5 linked regions of the Coturnix japonica genome follow. The protein of the gene in region 1 interacts with the protein of each later gene in a biochemical or structural test. Links are inferred from orthologs where the notes say so. Each region holds a gene or a part of one and is shown in the gene's direction. Other genes may lie near its edges. The genes, in order: XPO1, RANBP3, ADAR, RANBP1 and ABL1.

Region 1 (3,510 bases):
ATTTGAAGCAGGGTTGTCATACATGTAAGGTCAGGTTGTTAGACTTCAATAATAACATTTTTCTGTTAAATGAAAACACTGGAATGGAGCACTGAGTATTTATTAGCAACTTCATGAATGTAAAACACAAGCATTATTTTATTCTCACTGCTGTACTTTTGAAGTAAATATACTTAACGCATTTGTTCTGATATATATTTATTTTTAAATTATATATTAAATGTATTAAAATTACTGCAGTATATTCTCATCCTTAGTAATGTTTCCAGATACAGGTGTCAGACAGTCTTTAGTTTGAATTTTGGTGTTTGTTATTGCTTAGTGTGCTGTCATAATAGAAGATTCGCCTCTTAAAAAGGCAAGAGTACAGTGAAAGTGGCACTGTAAAAATCCATTGCTAAATCTGACCTTTATGCTGCTTTTTGACTTGGTGGGATTATTTATTTTACTTATGTTAGAGAGTTTTTTTAGGGGCTGATGGAATGGTCTGAGCTGATAAAGCTGAATCTTTTCACTTAGACTAGGTTCAGGTGTACCATCTCCATTTTAATGGCGGGTTATTAAATCCAACAGATGTAATGACACTGAAATAATGAACAGAGGAGAATTATTGACTGACTTGTTAAATGCAGCATAATAACCTCAGAGCTAGCCTATGTCATATTTCCTATGGCTCATGAGTATGTATGCATTTTATTAATTATTTAACTTAGTAGCTTTACTGATCTGACTGATAGAAAATATACTTGTCTTTACAACTCTAGCAGATCTGGGTTTAAATTCTTAGCTTGTTCTATCATAAGCTCACAAGAGAAGTATTACACTTAGCATTTTGATTTTGTCTTAGAAATTAACTTAAAAATAATCTTGCTTACTTTTACTGTTAATTTTCTTTCAGTGTATCTTACGCATCTGGATTATGCAGACACAGAACGAATAATGACAGAGAAACTTCATAATCAAGTGAATGGGACAGAATGGTCATGGAAAAATTTGAATACACTGTGTTGGGCTATAGGCTCAATCAGTGGAGCAATGCATGAAGAAGATGAAAAAAGATTCCTTGTTACAGTAATTAAGGTATTGTGTTACAAAACTAACAGCTTTGTCATACTTGATAGTTTATGCTCAAGAAATTGAGCTTAAAAAGACACTGCTCTACATTCTTCAGTAAGCTGTCTTGTACAGCAAACATATTGATGAAAATAATTTGATGGGAAATACCATATACTGAATGTTAGGTCGATAAATTCCTCAGTCATGAAAAATGCTTGAATTCAAATAGCCTTTTCACTGTGAAAATTCTGGAGAGGAAAGTTTGGCTTATGATGAAGTATTTTGCTTTAGGAATGCAGAAGATATGGAAAAAAAGCACTAATGAAGTAAGAGTAGCCTTAATGAAGCAAAGTAACGTGCATTGTTTTTAACCAAATAGCACTCTTCACTTCATGTTTAGTAAATGTGTGTGTGGAAAGAGTACAGGAAGAAAATGTTATCTACAGGAGTAATTAAGCATTGCTGTTACATCATAAAAATACTGCAGAGAGGATTTAGTTTCCCCTACTTGCTGTGCAATACCTGTATGTTTATCTGTATCAACTGATTGGTCAGTAGTCAACACTGAGGGTTGCTGTAGTCTGCCCTGTATACGTCATTAATTACATTTAAAACACATGGCTGAAAAGGTGTTGTTCTAGATTTGGCTGAAACTTAGAATTGTCCTGATCTTTAACTCTTCTTGTTTGTTTTTTATTTTTTAAATCAATTTGGCTTGGAGTTTAATAATAGCATTTACTCTACCGCATCATTATGATAGCTTAATTTAGCCTTTATACTGCTCTTCTAACCTACAAACTTGGGGAGGTGACTAATAATATGTTACATTGTAGGATCTCCTAGGACTCTGTGAACAAAAGAGAGGAAAAGACAACAAAGCCATTATTGCATCAAATATTATGTACATAGTAGGCCAATACCCACGTTTCTTGAGAGCTCACTGGAAGTTTTTGAAGACAGTAGTCAACAAGCTATTTGAGTTTATGCATGGTAACTATCTCTTCTACTTGCTGTTCTGACTTTCTTGATGCCGAGTACAAGTGCATGTCTGGGGGAAAATTCAAAACAGTAACTGATCTCATTTGATTTAGAAACCCATGATGGTGTCCAGGATATGGCTTGTGATACCTTCATTAAAATAGCACAAAAGTGCCGCCGACATTTTGTTCAGGTTCAAGTGGGAGAAGTAATGCCTTTCATTGATGAAATCTTGAACAATATAAATACAATCATCTGTGACCTTCAGCCACAACAGGTACATATAATTCAGGACTGTAAGTTTGTGAAGATGAGTAAAAAGTTGTGACATAACGAAACTTGATAGTAGACTTTTAAGATTTGCATTGTATTTTTTAGTCATATTGTGTGAGTGTGTGTGTGTGTTAGTGAATGTTATGTTACAGACGGTATGATTGTGTTACATTATTAAGGCCTTAATTAGAATTCTTGAAAAGAGAATTAAAGTGTGCCGAGTTGAAATTCTTTTTTCTGGAATGCTTCTACAAGTAAATAATAGTAAATCTGATTTTGAGGTTTTGATTAGCAAAGAAGAGTATTCTACTGTGATAGCATACTTATGGGTCTTGCGTGTCCAGTGGCAAGAGCATACCTGCAGGGAGAATGTGTTCTTACAGAGTGTAGTGCATGCACAGCTGATGCATTGCAGTGAAAACCTTGGAAACCTTGGGCTGAGGAGGTATTAAGTTCCGACTTCTGATTTTCTGCACTCGATTTAGCTCAAAGTTCTGTAAAAGAAATAAATGGAGCTGTATCATAAGAGAAAGCATATGCCTGAAATTGCTTCAGGTAAAAATGAAGGAGGTCTCTGAGATAGTAACATTGGAAGGGAATGGAGGCTTACCTTAAATGTGGTGTAAGTAAGGAAAAGGTGGAGAAAGATCTTGTAAACTCAAGTGGGAAGTACATGTTTATTCACTGGAAACCCATTTTCAGCTTTTACTACCTGCTAGTTTTGAACATGGTAAACTTCTGGGTAGTCTTCCTTAACCTTTCTGTTTGACTTGTTTTTCCAATCAGGTGCATACGTTCTATGAAGCAGTAGGATACATGATTGGGGCACAAACAGACCAGACTGTACAGGAGCATCTGATAGAAAAATACATGTTGCTCCCCAATCAAGTATGGGACAGCATAATTCAGCAGGCAACAAAAGTAAGGCCATAAATTTTAAGTGTATTCAATTAAAATAAAACAGCTGAATGTTTGTTTCTGTGTTGTTTGTTTGTTTGTTTTGGGGTTTGTTGTTCTTTTTACTCCTGGAATTAGGTGAAGTTAGCTGGGGTGTACTTATATAAAGCAATGGTTGATGTGACAGTAAAAGTGTTGTTTGAAAAGAGAAGACTTGAATGACTTAAGAGTGGTTTAAATCCAGTGTAAAGAATTTCACAGAAAATCCCTTAGCAGTGTGTAAGATAAATTCTTGCAAGTGACCAT
Region 2 (4,287 bases), on another chromosome or scaffold:
AATCACATCTACTCTGATATTGTTATAGACTGATTTATAGGTAAATTAAACCAGAATCCGGCCTCCAAACTCTGAGAGCATTAAACTGTCAATTTTCCTCTCTTGTGTTAATGATACCAGAGAAGCACGAGCTCTAATTAGAACACGGATAAGGAACACACTGTGACCTGCTGGTTCTTAAGGTCTAGAGAGTGTAACTTTGGGAGGTAAATTCCTGCTAACTCACAACCCTGAACTAGGTCACACCACGCACTGTCAGTGCCGTGCGTTCATTAGGGAAGCACAGCACAGCAGTGCCCACAATTAAAGCTGCCCAACTCTTCCATGATAAGAGCTGCCATCTCTCACAGGTTCCACCAGCTTCCAGGCTGTGAAGCACAATGTTCTGCGATGGAGAAACGTACCAGAATACGTGCTTAAGTTCAAAATGTAATTACTGTTTTTTAGATACTCACATAACGGGTAATTATACTCACACCAATTCAGTAGTGTTTGCCTCAGTTTGTAGGACATGTCCGCTTTGGGACAGGCTTTAATTCCACACAAACTGGAGCAAATTCAGCCACATTGTGAATCTGTGCAAATGACGGTTCTTGTGTGATGAGACACGAGAACGTGCTCAGCTCCACGCTCTGCAGGTTGTGTGTAAAGAAACACATCACGCTCTGGGCACCGTGTGTGTTTGGACATCGCAGCTTCCAGCACTGACACCTGTGAGCTGCTCGGGGACGTGAAAATCACCATCAGACCTTGCCGAGCTGTTCAATATCCAGCTGTTATTGCTCAATACCCAGAAGAGGCCCCTCGTCACTTCTATAGGTGACAATGTCGGTCATGGCACTTTGCAGGCTGAGGGAGCTGGAAACAGAGCTGCTTCTACAGCTGGAGCTACTAACGCCCTGCTGGTAGGACTGCTGGTATTAGGGACTATTAGGAACTGCTGCTCCCAACATGGGAACCACCATCCCACCCATGCACGGCGAGCTCCAGGACTTCCCTACGTAAAGTGCGTAGGGTACGTAAAGTGCGTAGGGTACGTAAAGTACGTAGGATACGTAAAGTACGTAGGGTACGTAAAGTGCGTAGGGTACGTAAAGTACGTAGGGTACGTAAAGTGCGTAGAGTACGTAAAGTGTGTAGGGTACGTAAAGTGCGTAGGGTACGTAAAGTGCGTAGGGTACGTAAAGTGCGTAGGGTACGTAAGCGTAGGTCCTTGAGAATCACAGCGTGCCGTGCCACCACCCCCGGGGGCAGCTGTGCCCGCAGAGCGCACGGCTGCAGCCCTGTGTGCAGAGCCTGGGGTGGCAGCATCACGCACTGTACGGAGACACGTTGGTTGGAGCACGGAAAGCGCGGCGGGCCGCAATTCAAGCTCCTGCTGACAGAACCGCAGCGCCTCCAACCGGCGCGACCGCCCCAAAACGGAACCACGTGCCACACCCGGCCCGCCTCGCGCATGCGCGGACACATCCGCCATTATTGAGCGCCCTCCGCCCCGCCCGCCCGGCCGTTCACGCATGCGCAGAGCGGCCGTAAATTGGCCGGTAGTGGAGCCGTCCGGCCGCGCGATGCATCTCGGGAGTGATTGAGGAAGTAAAATGGCGGACCTGGCCAACGAAGGTGGGTACGGGCAGGGATAAGGATCAGGACAGGGATAGTGATAAGGATCGCGGCTGGGATCGGGGCGGGCGGCCGCTGCTGTGCGAGGCGCTGCCGGGACGGGCCCGGCTCCAGCTCCAGCCTCGCTCCGCGTCCCGCCCGGTCGGGTCCCGCGCTCCGCTCCGGGCCGCGCTCAGCGCAACGACTCCGTGCGGCCTCACGGCGCCCCGGGGAGCGGGCGGACAAAGGCGGCGCCGCCGGGACGCGCTGCGCTGCCCGCTGTGCTCCGCGCTCTGCTCCCCGCGGGGCCTCCAGCCGGGCCGGGCCCGCCGGCTCCATGGCGGCCCGCTCCGTTACCGCCCGGCCTGCGCTGTCCCCGCGGTCCCGGGGCTGCTCCGAGCGGGTCCTTGCTGTTACCGCTGCCGCTCCCTTTGATGCTGGGAGCCCTGGGGGCTGCGTGCGGCCGGACGAGGCGGAACAGGCGTTTCTTGGCTTAGAAACGTTGGGACTAAATTGCTGCGGAGATTCCAGAGCGCTGTGGGGCTGTGGGTGCAGCACGGGGGGGTTCGGCCCCGAGGGCTGCGGGCGCTGCTTAAATGGCAGCGGGCAGCAGCAGGTCGGGCAGCCCCCGCTGGGCCCAGCTCGGCCCGCAGCAGCCTGCAGCCGTTCTCCCAGTGCGGTGGGTGCAGCTCCATCCTCATCCGAACGGGAGGAGCTGAACGCAGTTTAGGAGCCAGAACGGACAGTGCTTCCATTCGGTGCTATTCCTGATGCTCAGGATTTCTGCCAGTGGTGTTTACAGCCCTGATGTTAACGTTAGACAGAAGGAAGTGTCTTTTGGGCAGGATCCCACCTGCAGCTGACCACAGTGTTACACCAAAAGCATTGGGTGGATCTTATGATGCAGCACACGTGGGGCTGTTGGCTCCCAAATTGAAGGGATGCTGTCAGTGCTACCTAAAGCAGAGGGAAACCTGCTGATGGCACCAGGGCTTGGGAGATGAAATAACACCTTCTCTGCCAACACAAGAGGTTTGTGCTTTAAAAATGGTATGAAATTTTCTAATTACTCCTGGGTATGTAAAAGGCACCATGTGCCCATAGCGGCTGTGGCAGCGCTTTGTAGAAGTTGCCTGTTCATATGATCAGAGACAAAAAGGGTTTGAAGATAAACCAGATTGTGTCACATGCTCTATGTCTTGAAAGCAGAGTCCTCAAAGTGAGGCAGCAGTATCTACAAATATATTTTTTCTCCCCTTTTCCCCCACCATCCTGTTGTAATTTATATTCACCATGACTTCATTGGTGAGCTCCGGGTATGAATGATCCAGTGTCATTAAGTATGATCGGACTTTGCTTGTGGGGTCTTTTTCAGTGATCAGCTGTTGGCTTCGTAGCTTTCTTCTTGCTTTCAGTCTATTCATAGCTATTGGAAGAGTCTGGTTTTGTTACCTGTCCCTTTGGAGTTCTATAAAACACAAATGCCCAGGTCTCTTCTTTAGCTTGTCCTTCAGGCCCAATTGTTCTGCCTTGGTTAACTTGGAGCAGTCTGTGTGTGTGGTTGTGTTCTCAAATCAGATATTATCTGCTTACCTGCATTCTTTTCCTTTGTAAGCTGTTGCCATCAAATATTCTTCAGCTGACGCAGATTTGGGTTCCACCACTTTTCTCTGCCATACTGCAGTATAAAGGGAACACCTGCAGTTATTTTCCAGGCCTGATGCCATATGGGCTTCTATACGTATATAATTCAGCTGCTATTTCATAGTTGATTTGAGTGGTACCAGAGCAGGCAGGAAGAGCAGACTGTGTGGTGAGGAAGTGGGGTTGCTGAGAAGATGATTATTGTCCATAGAACCAGCACTTCATTCTGTTTACAACTAACATCCTTCTTTTTTTTTCCCATTGATTTTATTTTCCAGATGTTTTGAATTCTCCTTTTTGCCCAAATCTGATGGAAGGGTAAAGAAAACCTTCTGAAACATCTACATAGCCATTTTTTTCCTTCTATCTATAGTGTGCTGATCTTACATCAAGCCTTAACAAGGATGCATGTTGCTGCTTCCTCATAGCCCATTCTGTAGGGATCCCCCCGGCCTTTTTCCCCCCTTGTGCTGTTTTTCAGGTGATTATCAGCTGGTTTTGCTGTTCATTTGTGCGTTGGCTTTACATTATTTTGGTGCTCATCCTGCTCCCACCAGCTGAGCTGAGGGAATTGAGCTCCATAAGGAAATATTTGCAGCGCTGTAGGTGCCTTCCATAATGGGTTCATAAAGGGACACGTTTCTGATATATGTGCACTCGGAATCTCCGTTGGGCTTTTCAGTCATGGGGCACTTTGTGCTGCACTGAAGGCTTAAATCTTTATTTCAGAAACCATGCCCAGCCCCTGTGGCTGTGTGGATGTCAGCTGTCACAGGGGTAAAATGAGGTCATGTTTTGTCTGCTTGGAGGGAACGTGGCTGACCTTGTAGCCTCAGAAACAGCTGAATGTAGTCACACATCAGAGTGAAAGAAATAAAAATCTCACTTAATAGAATACATGATTGAAGATGTGATACCTCTGAGCAATTGAGGCCCTGATTTGGTTTCCAAGGCCTGTGAAGTAAGGTGATGCTGTATCTGTATGTGTGGTAGTACATAAGGCATGTTTGGATGTTAACAGTGAAGTGGCTGATAGCTCTGTTT
Region 3 (4,272 bases), on another chromosome or scaffold:
CCCCCTCCGTCAGCTCCATCCCTTTAGGGCCATGTCCCCATGTCTTCAGGTCCCCATGTCTTCAGGTCCTCATGGAGCCCCTATAAAGCACCCTCAGCCCCTGCCCACCCATCAACCACCCATCTCCCTGCCCTCCACCCCTCCATCTCTCACAGCGCCCCACTGCACCCCATAGGACTGCACTGTCCCTTGTGTCTCCCCCCCCCCCAATCCCCAGTTTATCCCATTTCAATTCATCTCATGCAGCATGGAGCTGCCCCCTCCGTCAGCTCCATCCCTTTAGGGCCACGTCCCCATGTCTTCAGGTCCCCATGGAGCCCCTATAAAGCACCCTCAGCCCCTGCTCACCACCCGGAGCTCCCCCAACACCCACCCCCTTGGGGAGCAGAGGGGCTGGGGGCTCCCGTGGGTGCTCACATAGAGACGTGGGGCTCCCCGTGGGCGCACAGTGCGACGTGGGGCTCCTGGCTCTGTCTCGCTGGCAGATGGCACCCAGTGAGCAGCAGACGGGAACAGGCTGCTCCGTGCCTGGGGAGCTGTGATGGGTGTAATGGGAGGGGGGGGGGGGTTGAAGAAGGGGGGAGCAGGATCCACGCTGGGAGGGGGGGTGGGGGACAATGTAGTGCTGCTGGAAGATGATGCAGGGAGTGGGGATGCAGCTTGGCTGGGGAGGGGGCGGGCAACTCCATGCTGTGTAAGATGAATTGAAATGGGTAAAATGGGATTGGAGGGGGGGGGGGTCACAGGGGACAGTGCAGTCCTATGGGGTGCAGTGGGGCCCTGTGAGAGATGGAGGGGTGGAGGGCAGGGAGATGGGTGGGTGATGGGTGGGCAGGGGCTGAGGGTGCTTTATAGGGGCTCCATGAGGGACTTTTGAAGACATGGGGACCTGAAGACATGGGGACATGGCCCTAAAGGGATGGAGCTGATGGAGGGGGCAGCTCCATGCTGCATGAGATGAATTGAAATGGGATAAAATGGGGAGGGGGGGACACAGGGGACAGTGCAGTCCTATGGGGTAGGGAGATGGGTGGGTGCTGGGGGAGCTCTGGGGGTGGGCAGGGGCTGAGGGTGCTTTATAGGGGCTCCATGGGGACCTGAAGACATGGGGACGTGGCCCTAAAGGGATGGAGCTGAACTATGGGATGGGACCTATGGGGCTGCTTCCCCTTGGCATCAAAGTGGGGCTGGGATGAATGCAGGGGGTGTGAGCCCCATAGGGTGTGGGGGGAACTTAGGGGGGCTTTGAGAGCACATAGGGGAGGTGGGGGGTTGGGAGTCCAAAGAACAACGAGGGCTGGAGTAGCTGTAGAAGCCATATAGGCCATGAAGGCAGATGGGTGAATGAAGGTGAATGAAGACCCCCCCCATATATTACACCCGACGCCCACCGAGCACATGGACAGAGCTCACTGCGCATGCGCCAGTCCGACGGTGCTCAGGCGCATGCGTGTCACTGCTATCACAGAGCGCATGCGCGGTAGCACCTACGCGCAAGGTCAGGCCTAGTGCGGCCACGTCCGCAACAACAGGAGACACTCGGGGAGCGAACCGGAGATCCGGGATCGAAGCGATATCCCCGGTAGGCCGGCAGCCCCTCCACCGGCACGCAGCCATGCGTTGTCCTACCGGAACCCCTCCGTCTTTCCGTGCCCTGAAGAAAGATGGCGGCCACCACGCCGCGTGGCGCGGTTTGATGACGTCATTACTGCGCGCCCGCAGCGGCGCCGGTGGCGGCGGAGGGGGTAAGAGGGGACGGGGGGGGGAGGGGTAAGGTGTGGGAACGGGGCACCGGGAGGAGCCTGGAGCCTATAGGGGGAAATGGGGAACCGGGACGGGATGAAGGGGGGTGAGAACATAGAGAATAAAGAGAGTTCCCATCTATGGTGGAGATGTGCACGGTAGTACCGGTACCGGGACCGTAACCCCGAACCGGGTCCAATGCTCCGCCTCAATCAAGGCCTCATTCCTTTAACCCCCCCCCGTCCGGTTCCAGGCACGGCGCCGTGTCCCAGCGCTGCCCGCCTCATTGTGGGGCGGGGAGAACAGCTGCGGGGACGGAACCGAAAGCGAAAGGATCCGCAGCCATCTTACGGCATTAACCGGACCCGGTACCGCCTCCGGAGCTTCGCTTTGGCCGTCCGAAGGCACAGAAAGCCCCGTTTGGGGCTGTCGGACCGAGCGCAGGTAACGCGGAACGGGAAGAGCCGACACACGATCGGTCGGTGCTGATTCGGGACCGTAAAGAGCCGCGTTAATCACAGAATGAGCCGGGTTGGAAGGGACCTCAAGGATCGTGTAGTTCCAACCCCCCATAGACCCCATATCCACCCCATAGAGACCCCATAGAGACCCCATAGAGACCCCATAGATCCCCATAGAGACCCCATAGATCCCCATAGAGACCCATAGAGACTCCATAAACCCCACAGCCCCCATAGAATCACAGAATGATCCGGGTTGGAAGGGACCTCAAGGATCGTGTAGTTCCAACCCCCCATAGACCCCATATCCACCCCATAGAGACCCCATAGATCCCCATAGAGACTCCATAAACCCTACAGTCCCCATAGAATCACAGGATGACCCGGGTTGGAAGGGACCTCAAGGATCATGTAGTTCCAACCCCCTGCCTGGCAGGGCCACCAAACATACACCTTTACTAGATCAGGTTGCCCAGGAGACCCCATAGATCCCCTCAGAGACCCCATAGATCCCCTCAGAGACCCCATAGAGACCCCATAGATCCCCATAGACCCCATAGAGACCCCATAGATCATGTTGTCCAGGTCCCTGTCCAACCTGGCCTTGAACACCTCCAAGGACGGGGCATCCACAACCTCCCTGTGCAGCCTGTTCCAGTTCCTAACCACTCTCCTAGTGAAGAACTTCCCCCTGACATCCAACCTAAATCTTCCCTCTTTTAACTTAAAACCGTTTCCCCGTGTCCTGCTATTGTCAGCCCTTTTGGTGGTCGGTGTGGTTAAAGAGCTGAGCGTGCTCCGGTCATTTAGGAGCGCTCCACGTGCAGCCTTCCCCTCTTTTCATCCTTCTTTTCCCTATTGACACATCGCTTTTGGGCTTGGGGAGGTCAAAGAGCTTCCTTTGTAAAGGGTTTATCAATGCTGAGTGATGTGGGGGTCCCTGGGGGGGAGGCTAGCAGGGGATATCCATTACTATGTGTAGGAGGGCTGGGATACACCCTATGAGCGGCTGCTTCACTTTACAAGCTCAGAGCCCTGAAGGTGTGAGCGAAACTCAAGGCTGCCATCCCCAAAACACCTTCGTGGCATTACAAAGCGGCTGCCGATCTGATTTCACTGTAGGTTATCACCTTACTCCTGCAGTGTGATGCTTTACATCCATAGGTCTTTATAGGTCTTATAGGTTTCTGGCTTAAGCCCTGACTATGAAGCTCTCCCAGCTGTGCCACATTGAGCTGCCCTGCCTCCCTCTGCCTTTCAGGTTCCAAAAGCAGACATGAGCTTCTTGCCTCCCTGCGGGCACAGAAGTGAAACTTGCTCATGTCCCAGTGGTGCCAGAAGGGGATTGAACCCAAACTCAAGCAGTCTTTGCATCCACCTTGATGTTCAGCCCAAACAAGAGCGGCCAATCTGTCTTTATATGAAGCTGGTTTCTTGTTAACCTCACCCAGTGTTCCTGGCTGCTGGGTTCTGACCTGGGCAGGTGTAATTTGCCAGCTGTGCTCACATGAATAATTGAATGGCAGTGGAAAGGCTTGGCGAGGCTCTTATCTCAGCAGCATGGGGGGTGTTTAGGCTGCACCTCTGCTTATAATGGTGTCATTGGGTTTTTAACCCCCATTGGGTTGTTTTTTGTGTGTCTTCCTAGCAGGTATCCACTGGGAACTGGAAGGAATCGCTGCTCCTGGTGTGCAGGCAGCCTGGATGCCAACGTGTGCTCAAGCAGAGCGCTATGAGCAGAGGCGCTGCTCAAGGCAAAGGCTCACATCTCACCCGAGCAAGGCATAACTGCTCCAACCCTCACCCAGCTTTCTTTAACCGCCCCCATTCGTCGCAGATAACAAACTGGGAATCCTCTCGGCGCCTGGCAGAGCTGGATGGTGATGTCTGCTTAATTCAGAGGCCGCAGTCGTACAGCAAGCTGTGTGCTGGGGGATGGCAGGCTGCTGCTCCTGCAGGGAGAGGGCAGGGTGGCCGTGGTAAAGCAGGATGGCATAGGTTCTCCAGCAAGCAGCAGCAGGTAGAAACACCCCCACGTTGTCCCCCTCCTCGTTATTACTCTCAGGAG
Region 4 (4,110 bases), on another chromosome or scaffold:
CATGGCCCACAATGGACATAACAAGTTACCAGAGGAAAAACTCTTCTCCTGGAGGAAACCCACGTTTTAACAGGGGAACAGATCTCTCAAGTTACCAGACCTGCAGCCCCAGGAAATGACACTTTGTACAACTTTAACTCTATGTACCAGATTAAGAACGTACCCAGCGCACAGGTGGGACTTTATCTATGGGATTGAGGGAAATGATGGAACAAATACTTCGATCTACAAAGACTGAGCTTGAAAACCGAGGGGATAATTTGTAAGGGAATCCCGGTGGCACCGGGCCATCTCTGCACAGGCCCTTTTGTGCTGGCATCCTCAGGTGCCCGACTGCGGGCTGAGGGCGGCGTTACTTGGTGCCATGACTTGGTGCCATGACTTGGTGCCATGACTTGGTGCCATGACTTGGTGCCATGACTTGGTGCCATTACTTGGTGCCATTACTTTGCCAGCTTCTGCAGCAGCTGCTCGCAGTCCCGGCGCTTCTCGTCCAGCTGCTGCTCGTAGGGCAGTGCCCACAGCGGGGTCACCACGTCCGCGATCCGTTTGCTGACGGGCTCTGCCGGCTCCGTCCCGGTCCCGTCCCGCTCCTCCTGCCGCCGTTTCCTCGCCATGGGGTCGGCTTTGGGCTTGGCCGCCCGTACTCCGAGGGCCCGGCCCTTCCACGCGGCGCCGTGCAGGACCCGCACGGCCTCGTCCCGCTCCTCCTGGCTCTTGAACGTCACGAAGGCGAACGTCTGTTTGCCCAGCAGCTTGATCTTGTGCGGGCTCAGCCCGAACTTGGCCAGGAACTTCTTGACGTCGTTGAAGCCGATGTACTTGGGCAGGTTCTGGATCTCCACTTTGTAGATCTCGGAGGTGAACAGCTCCGCACGGGTGTACCCGTACACGTCGGGGCCAACCTCGGCCGCGTCCATGGCGGGATGGGGCGGAGCGGGCACGGAGCGAGACGGGGATGGAACGATCAGCAGCGATGATGGTGTTCAAATACAGCGGCACCGAACCGTGCGATCCGACCCGGTACAATACAGACAGCGGCGGGCTCAGCGCTGCAGCAGCACGGCCGCCATCTTGGGACGGGACGGCACGGCCGGGGGAGGGGGAACGGGGAGAGAGGAGGGGAGGAGAGCGGGGCTGCAGGGCCGGGGGTACGGGTGCCGGGCGGGGCTGTGGGCGGCACCGAACCGACACGGAACCGAACCGACACGGCACAGCAGCACACGGACACACGGACAAACGGACACGGACACACGCGGCCCAGCACCGCGAGAGGAGAGCAGGGGCGGGGCGGGCGGAGGGCAGGGGCCGTTTCCCATCGTGCCTTGCGGCGGCGCGGGCTGCGGGAATGAGGTAAAGGCGGGAGGGGCGGGAACGCGGCAGGAAGAGCTGAGACAGCGGGAGAGAACGGGAGGATGGCGGATAATAAGGTGGGGAATGGGAACGGGGGGAGGGAAATAAGGGGGGGAAGGCGGCGGGGGAGCGGGCCGGGGTGGGGGATGGCGGTAACGGAAGCGGGTGGGGGCCGCGCGGGGCCGAGGCCGCGGCCCAGGCCCGGTTGTGGGCCGAGCTGCGCGAGGGCGGCTGGGGCAGCGCTGCCATGGGGAGCAGCAGGAGCCGCTCCGCTCCGTTCCGCTCTATTCCGTTCCGTTCCTCTCCGCTCCGTTCCGCTCCCCGGGGCCGTTTCTGGCTGTTGTTGCCGTTCCCGCTCACTCCTCGTTCCTTCCCGCAGGGCCCCACGTGTCGCCTGTCGCGATACCGCCCTGCCCGCTCTGCACGTGGCGGCGGGGCCCGGTGTGCCGGGGGCGGGGCTGCGGGGCCGCTCCGCTCCTCTCGTTATCTCGTTATCTCTCGTTATCTCGTCGTTATCTCGTTATATCCCGACGCTGTATGGCGGCTCCGTTCAATCTGAACGTTCCGATCCGCCGGGGCCGCTCGTGCCCCGCAGCGATCGCCGATAACCGAAAGTTTTTGCCCCGTTCTTTCCCGTCTTGTCTCCGTTCCGCACTGAGCGCAATGCAGGCCCCGTGTGTGTGTGTGTGTGTGTGATCCGCCTTTGTGTTGTCCCGGCTGCGGCAACAAAAAGGCACGAACCGGTTCTGTCCCCCCGAGATCCATGTTTGTGGCCTCGCTGAGTTTGCGGAGCGCTTCCCTTGAAGGCTCCTCACTGAGCGCCCCTACCAGCACAGCCGTGTGCCCTGTAGTCATGGTACCGTGCCATGTAGTCGTGGTACCGTGCCATGTAGTCATGGTGCCGTGCCCTCCTCACCAGCTGCCCCTGCAGACTTCCTGAGCCCAGCAATTGTGCGGGCAGACCCCGAGCAACTGCATAGGAAGCCTCATGTTGGCCATTTACCCTCAATGAAAAACAAGGCTCCTCAAAGAGCGTTGTGTTGGAGGAAAAAAACTTCAGTCACTTCGCGAGTGTTTTGACTGTGCTTCAGAAATCTCTGCGGCTGTGGGGAGTTCTGACACGTAGGATGAGAACAATGAACTTCTGTTGCCTGTCTGGATGGACTTGGGCTGGTGGAGGTGGTTTCTTTAGTGATGTTTTTCCCCCCCATTAACAATAGGTTGTTAGTAGCATTAAGTGCATATACTGGAAAAATGATGGGGAAATGACTTTTCAGCAGCCAAAGGCCAGGACAGTAGAACAAAACCAGCATGAGGCTGCTTCTTTCTTAGTCTAACTGCACATCGACATAAAGCAATTAATTTTCACCTGTGAATATTGGTTAATTTTAACACATATTTCAGTTGCTGAGATCCAGTTGCTGAGTAGTTGTGAATGTAAGTGTGCAGCATGTTTAGCTTTCTTTTTTGTTTTCCCCTGTCCAGGAAGCACATGAGGAGCACGATACCTCTACTGAAAATGCAGATGATTCCAACCACGATCCTCAGTTTGAGCCCATAGTTTCCCTTCCAGAGCAGGAAATAAAGACTCTGGAAGAGGATGAGGAAGAGCTCTTCAAGATGTAAGTAGAACACTTGTACGCATTATCTGGCTGCTTATTGTACTCAAGCTTTAATGTGTTACGAGAAAGTTGGATGACTTGTTAGGAATCTCTGTATGAAGTGGCAGTGTAAGTTCACTGCTATTTACTTTAATGGCAGAGGTTGAGTTGGGGAGGTCTGACAGCACTGTCCCCAAGGAACTGATGAAGGTCTGGAATAGCATGAAGGAGATGGTGTCATGAATCTGGTTTTAGTATTGACTCTTTTATCCCAAAAGAAAACATTAACTTGGATAATAAATAAAGTTTTGAAGGTATGTGATACTGGTCTAAAACTTATAGTGCAAAAGGTATGGAAGACCAGCATAGGATCTAGGCACATTCCAGACAAAGATCTATTTGGAATCACACGGAGTAGCCCAAGCTGGCGGGGACACACAGGGCTCATGGAGTCCAACTCCTGGCACTTCACAGAACCACCCAAGGTTCTTTCAAAACATTTTCTCTTTCTTGCGTGGCTTAAAAACATCTGCTGTACCATACAGGTGGATGTGTTGTTTCAGTAAGCTGTTACATACAGGCTAACTTCTCACGTTCTTCCTTCTTTAAGGCGAGCAAAGCTGTTCCGATTTGCATCTGAGAATGAGCTTCCAGAATGGAAAGAACGAGGAACTGGTGATGTAAAACTCCTAAAGCACAAGGAGAAGGGAACAATTCGCCTCCTCATGAGGAGGGATAAAACTCTAAAAATCTGCGCAAACCATTACAGTATGTTATGTGTTACTATACTTGCTACTGTTTTGTGTGTGTGTGTGGTTTGTTTTTTAAGTAAGCTTGATGGAGCTTTATACATTGAAACTCAAGAGCCCGGTGGCTTTTAGCAGTGTAGGTAGAGAGATGCTGCCTCTTAAAGCAAGTGTCCAACTTACAGGAGACTATAAATGCTGTCATTTCTTGCTCTGTCCACAAAAGCCATGTATCAAAACATGAGTTCTCATCTTTATGGATGGAAGGAGGCTGTAGTTTTGATGATAACCTGCAGCACTGAATCTGGAAGTTCTTTGTTTCAAAGAGTGCTGATGTTTGAAGACACTTTGAAATGTAACTGGGATGGACAAACACAGTGTCATTGATCCCAGTGCTTTGTTCTTTAATG
Region 5 (4,072 bases), on another chromosome or scaffold:
GCCTCAGTTAGTTTCAGTTCTCAAGGTGAACTAAAGAACATATAAAAACCATCATCTTCCTGCTCCACAGGGCAGGGAACACCTACCTCACGGGCAGTGTGAGTGATGTGGGGGTTTAACTTCGTTTTTGCCTCTGTGGATGGGGTCGGTGTCAAGCTGTGAGCTCACAGCACCGTAGGGAACGCAAGGCCTTTGTGTGGGGATGAGGGCTGCCCCTATGAGGTAAGGGCTGCCCCTGTGAGGTGAGGGCTGTCGGATTCTCCTCACCGCCGCTTTCCCGCAGCCGGGGCCGGGAAGGAGAAGGAGGAGGAGGCGGTGGCGGAGGAGGAGTGGCCGGAAGGGGTTTGCCCGCCCGCCCCGCCGGCCGGGGACGGGGCTGCGCCGCGGGTTCCGGGATCTCCCCGATCGCTCCGCCGCCCCCCTCGGCCCTTTGTCCCCCTTCCTCCGCCCTGCCTTGCCCTGCCCGCGGGGATGCCGGCCTGTCCTTCCCATCCCCACCTCCTGCGGACGCGCTGCGGGCTCCATCTCCACGGACGGCCTCGCGCCTCTCGCCCGGCGGCCACCGGGCCCTTGTGAGGCGGCCGCCACCTGCTCGGGCCCAGCGCTGTTCGACGCCGCCATGGCCCCCCGCGGCCCACCTGCCTGCTCGGGCCCGGCCCGGCCCCGGGAGAGGTAGCAGAAGGAAGGGCCGAGGGCACGGCGAGCTGCGGGCGGGCATCGGGTCACCACCGGGAGCTGCCGGGATGGTGGTGGTGCTGGGAGGCTCCGGCAGGACGTGAAGCCAGACGTGAGGTGCTTTGGACTTCGCTAACCCAATGCTATGCAAAAGAAAAGGAGAAAGAGGAAAAAGAAGAAGAAAAAGAAGAAGAAGAAGAAGCCTTGACGCTGGTTGTGGTAGGAATGAGTGTTTCCTGACCACGGTGAGCCTGAACGTGGTTTCGTGTCTGTGAGGTGGACGGGTTCTCCTTGGTGGAAGACATACCACGTCCGGGGAGGTGAAACTTACAGCGTCGCTCATTAACGTGTGATTGGAACTTTTAACTCATTTATGTGTTGTTCATAACGCCGTGCTGCTGTCTGCAGAATCATCTGGTGCTCTGCTCCATTGACTGCACCCACCTGGCACGGGAGCACCGAACTGTAGGGGCTGGAAGGGGATCTGGACATCATCCGACATAAAGGTTCTCCTTCAGCCTGGAAAATAAGGAATCACAGACTTCTGCAGAAGCTTCTTGTCCCGGGAGAGGCTGCCCAGAGTTGCTTTATGGGGCAGCAGCCTGGAAAAGTTCTTGGGGACCAAAGGAGGCCGAGTCTGCCTGCCCTGCACTTCATCAAGGGAGCAGGGAAGAAGGAGTCATCGAGGCATGGGGGCCCTCACTGCAATGTCTTTGTGGAACACGGTGAGAGATTTCAGTTGGTTTCACTTTTGGTTTGATTTTGATTTGCTGAGTTGGATGTGATGTGGGTCTCCTAGAGAGCGTAGTGTAAGATGCAAACATGCTGTGCTTCTTGGAAGCTGTTTTCTTTCCCTTGCCTCTTAAGGTAACACTGTTGTTTTTGTTGATACTTCACTTATGTTGGATTATGAGAGGTCATGGCACAACTAAATCTGAAATACAAGGAAATAACTCTTTAACATCATATAAACTTCGCATTTCTGCCTTGGATGTGTTGTGGTTTAAGGCCTAGAGAAGTGCTTGATCCTCTTTGAGTTGTTTGTTATAGGTGCAGACCAAAGCCAGCTGAGGGCAATGCTCTTGTGAGTGATGAGTGTTCTTAATTATCTCTACAAAAGGGGGCTCAGCTGCTTGGAAACAAATCTGGGCTGCTTTTGGGAAGTTGCTGGGTGCTGCTGTTGTAATAACTGGTTGGAACGAAGCAGTTTCTTGTTCATTTGCTTGGTGTGCTTACAGCACTGTTGGTTTGTGGTTTCTCATGGCCAGTTAAACATGCAACTTGTGCTGGAACGGGGGTAAGTGTGGGAGGCTACAAGCAGCCGGGTGAGGGGTACAGCAACCCGCTCAGCTCTCTGCTCCAGATTAAAAGGAGGCAGAGAATCTCAGGAAATACAGCAAATTGAAGTTATTTGGAGTTCCACAGAGCTTTTAAATGCCTTTTCTTTTTCTTTTTTAATGAGATTTCCAACTGAAGGCATCTCTTTCAAAAGGCACAGGCAGAAACGTGTCGTTTCAGTGACCCTTTATGGAATAATGCTTGGTTTTGCGTGGCACTTTATGGTGTTCCTTGAAGGGACATACACCAGGCTGCTGCCTCAGGCTGGAGAAATGGGATCTTCATAAGGTTTCTTCAATAGTTTTGACCTATAGTTTTTCTTAGCTCTGTGATATACTTCTCCTCTGGCCTCAGTTTGGTCACTGCTTGTACTGCATTGGACGGTGTTTCAAGGTCAGGGGAGATACCGTGAGCACAAAGTGCAAGCGGTACGATATTCTCACAGCCTTTGGTGCTTTGATGTAGCAAAAGAGCCAGAAATGCTGCTTTTTGATCATCTGACAGGACTAGGCAGATGGTACCTTTTTGCTGCTGTGACCTGAGGTCAGAAAATCCCAGCACATTTGTGAAGAGAGATAGCATCTCCAGTGTCCACGTACCATATGTCTATGAGAGACCTTGGTTGATTTAGAAATCAACTTGAAAGGGGACATGGAGGTCAGTACAGCTGTTAGGAGAGCTGCAAAAGATCAGTCTCGCTTAGCAGCACGAGGAAGAGTTTCCTCCTTTGTGTATGTGAAATGGTTCTTCATCACACAGGCAGGAGAAGGCTGCACCATGGGTTCTGTGTTGTCTGTCTCTGGGCCTCCTTCTAGCCTGGTACTCTAAAGTACCTACAAAGGTAGGTTATTCTTCCTTGATTTTTTGTTTTGTTTAATAGCTGAATTTTGGTTTTGAAATGCCTGTACAGTCTGACACACCGACCTTCTGACCATCTATATTTAATGGACAGAACAGTATTTCATAGTGTAGCTTTCCTGTTGTGGAAGTGGCTTTTGGTAGAGCGGCTCAGAACCTTGGTTTGGTGGTTTCAATGTGAAATTCAATGTGAAAAATTGTTCGTATTGCATTGCAGAACATGTCAGAGCTTGTACAAACTTCATATCCAGATATACAAAGAGGAACTTCCTATTGGGTCTGTATTGTGCCTTAAGAAATCTCTTAGAAGAGACTTCAGATTGAAGTTTATTTCTTTGACGCTGTTAAATATTACGTTTCAACTGTTTTGATTGTGAAAACAAATGAAAAGCTGTGGTTCCTTCCTATGGATTCAATGACCAACCCATGTATATGAGCTGTTATCAGTAGCTTGAAGACTTTGGAACATAGTTTTGCCAGCCAGGAGGACCTGCTGTGATCAAGCAGTAATACGACTTGGTATTTATTACCCTTTATCTTATGAGTGAGCACAATGCGTCTGATTCATACGCAGTATAAATTCATTAGGTAGCTAATTGCCTGTACATGGAGGTTGTTTAAATGGGATTCCTTCTGTGCTAGATCTCTGTTCTTTAGCATGCAGGTGGTTCCAGGCCTTGCCCTCATACCTTTGCATTGTTCCTATGGGTGAATGACCTGGGACAGGAAGGGGACTGCTCTACTGCTCCTGCTTTGGGCTTTCCCCTTGAAGCTGCACCATTAACATCAGCCTAATGGAAGCTCCTTTGGAAGCCTCCCTTCAGTATCTGAGTCGGTATTTCAAACTGACCAAACTTTTTTTCATTGTTAGCTTAGAGATTTGTTGGCACCCAAGCTTTAATTTCCATTTCTGTTCGGAGGGAATTATCCCCGGCTGTTGAGATCATTGCTATGTATCCATCCTTTGATGTGATTCAGTATTAATCTGGTTAATGCTGACATTGCTCCACGTGGAATGCAGATTTGTGTACTGCTTCTGCCTGCATCCCCTTCTATCATACACTGTAATTCCTGTTCAATTACCAAACACAGGCAAGTTCCACTAAGAAGCCCCTGTGCAGAACTTGATCTGGGCTTGGGATGTGTTAGGAGAGAGGCCTAAGACTTGCTAAACTGCTTTACATGCGCCGAGGTGGAAGAT

Evidence for each region.
Region 2: the proteins of XPO1 (region 1) and RANBP3 form a complex in vitro, tested with the Homo sapiens proteins (2 studies listed by BioGRID). The link is inferred for Coturnix japonica from reciprocal best matches to the Homo sapiens genes XPO1 and RANBP3.
Region 3: the proteins of XPO1 (region 1) and ADAR form a complex in vitro, tested with the Homo sapiens proteins (2 studies listed by BioGRID, with this or other methods). The link is inferred for Coturnix japonica from reciprocal best matches to the Homo sapiens genes XPO1 and ADAR.
Region 4: the proteins of XPO1 (region 1) and RANBP1 form a complex in vitro, tested with the Homo sapiens proteins (3 studies listed by BioGRID, with this or other methods). The link is inferred for Coturnix japonica from reciprocal best matches to the Homo sapiens genes XPO1 and RANBP1.
Region 5: the proteins of XPO1 (region 1) and ABL1 interact in a test that uses a peptide from one of them, tested with the Homo sapiens proteins (2 studies listed by BioGRID). The link is inferred for Coturnix japonica from reciprocal best matches to the Homo sapiens genes XPO1 and ABL1.

Annotation. Positions count from the first base shown.
Region 1 is NC_029518.1:5,211,708-5,215,217, forward strand, and holds part of XPO1 (exportin-1), read left to right. Parts: intron 1-898; coding exon 899-1,080; intron 1,081-1,889; coding exon 1,890-2,046; intron 2,047-2,147; coding exon 2,148-2,311; exon of another isoform or gene 2,312-2,801; intron 2,802-3,093; coding exon 3,094-3,228; intron 3,229-3,510. UniProt on the Homo sapiens protein: Mediates the nuclear export of cellular proteins (cargos) bearing a leucine-rich nuclear export signal (NES) and of RNAs.
Region 2 is NC_029543.1:271,884-276,170, forward strand, and holds the start of RANBP3 (ran-binding protein 3), read left to right. Parts: upstream 1-1,487; 5' UTR 1,488-1,598; coding exon 1,599-1,620; intron 1,621-4,287. UniProt on the Homo sapiens protein: Acts as a cofactor for XPO1/CRM1-mediated nuclear export, perhaps as export complex scaffolding protein. Bound to XPO1/CRM1, stabilizes the XPO1/CRM1-cargo interaction. In the absence of Ran-bound GTP prevents binding of XPO1/CRM1 to the nuclear pore complex.
Region 3 is NC_029540.1:1,491,367-1,495,638, forward strand, and holds the start of ADAR (double-stranded RNA-specific adenosine deaminase), read left to right. Parts: upstream 1-1,465; 5' UTR 1,466-1,615; coding exon 1,616-1,745; intron 1,746-1,996; coding exon 1,997-2,187; intron 2,188-3,852; coding exon 3,853-4,272. UniProt on the Homo sapiens protein: Catalyzes the hydrolytic deamination of adenosine to inosine in double-stranded RNA (dsRNA) referred to as A-to-I RNA editing.
Region 4 is NC_029530.1:1,023,457-1,027,566, forward strand, and holds the start of RANBP1 (ran-specific GTPase-activating protein), read left to right. Parts: upstream 1-1,307; 5' UTR 1,308-1,415; coding exon 1,416-1,430; intron 1,431-2,838; coding exon 2,839-2,975; intron 2,976-3,564; coding exon 3,565-3,722; intron 3,723-4,110. Other genes in the region: TRMT2A (tRNA (uracil-5-)-methyltransferase homolog A), read right to left, coding at 448-920. UniProt on the Homo sapiens protein: Plays a role in RAN-dependent nucleocytoplasmic transport. Alleviates the TNPO1-dependent inhibition of RAN GTPase activity and mediates the dissociation of RAN from proteins involved in transport into the nucleus.
Region 5 is NC_029532.1:4,567,060-4,571,131, forward strand, and holds the start of ABL1 (tyrosine-protein kinase ABL1), read left to right. Parts: upstream 1-1,264; coding exon 1,265-1,400; intron 1,401-4,072. UniProt on the Homo sapiens protein: Non-receptor tyrosine-protein kinase that plays a role in many key processes linked to cell growth and survival such as cytoskeleton remodeling in response to extracellular stimuli, cell motility and adhesion, receptor endocytosis, autophagy, DNA damage response and apoptosis.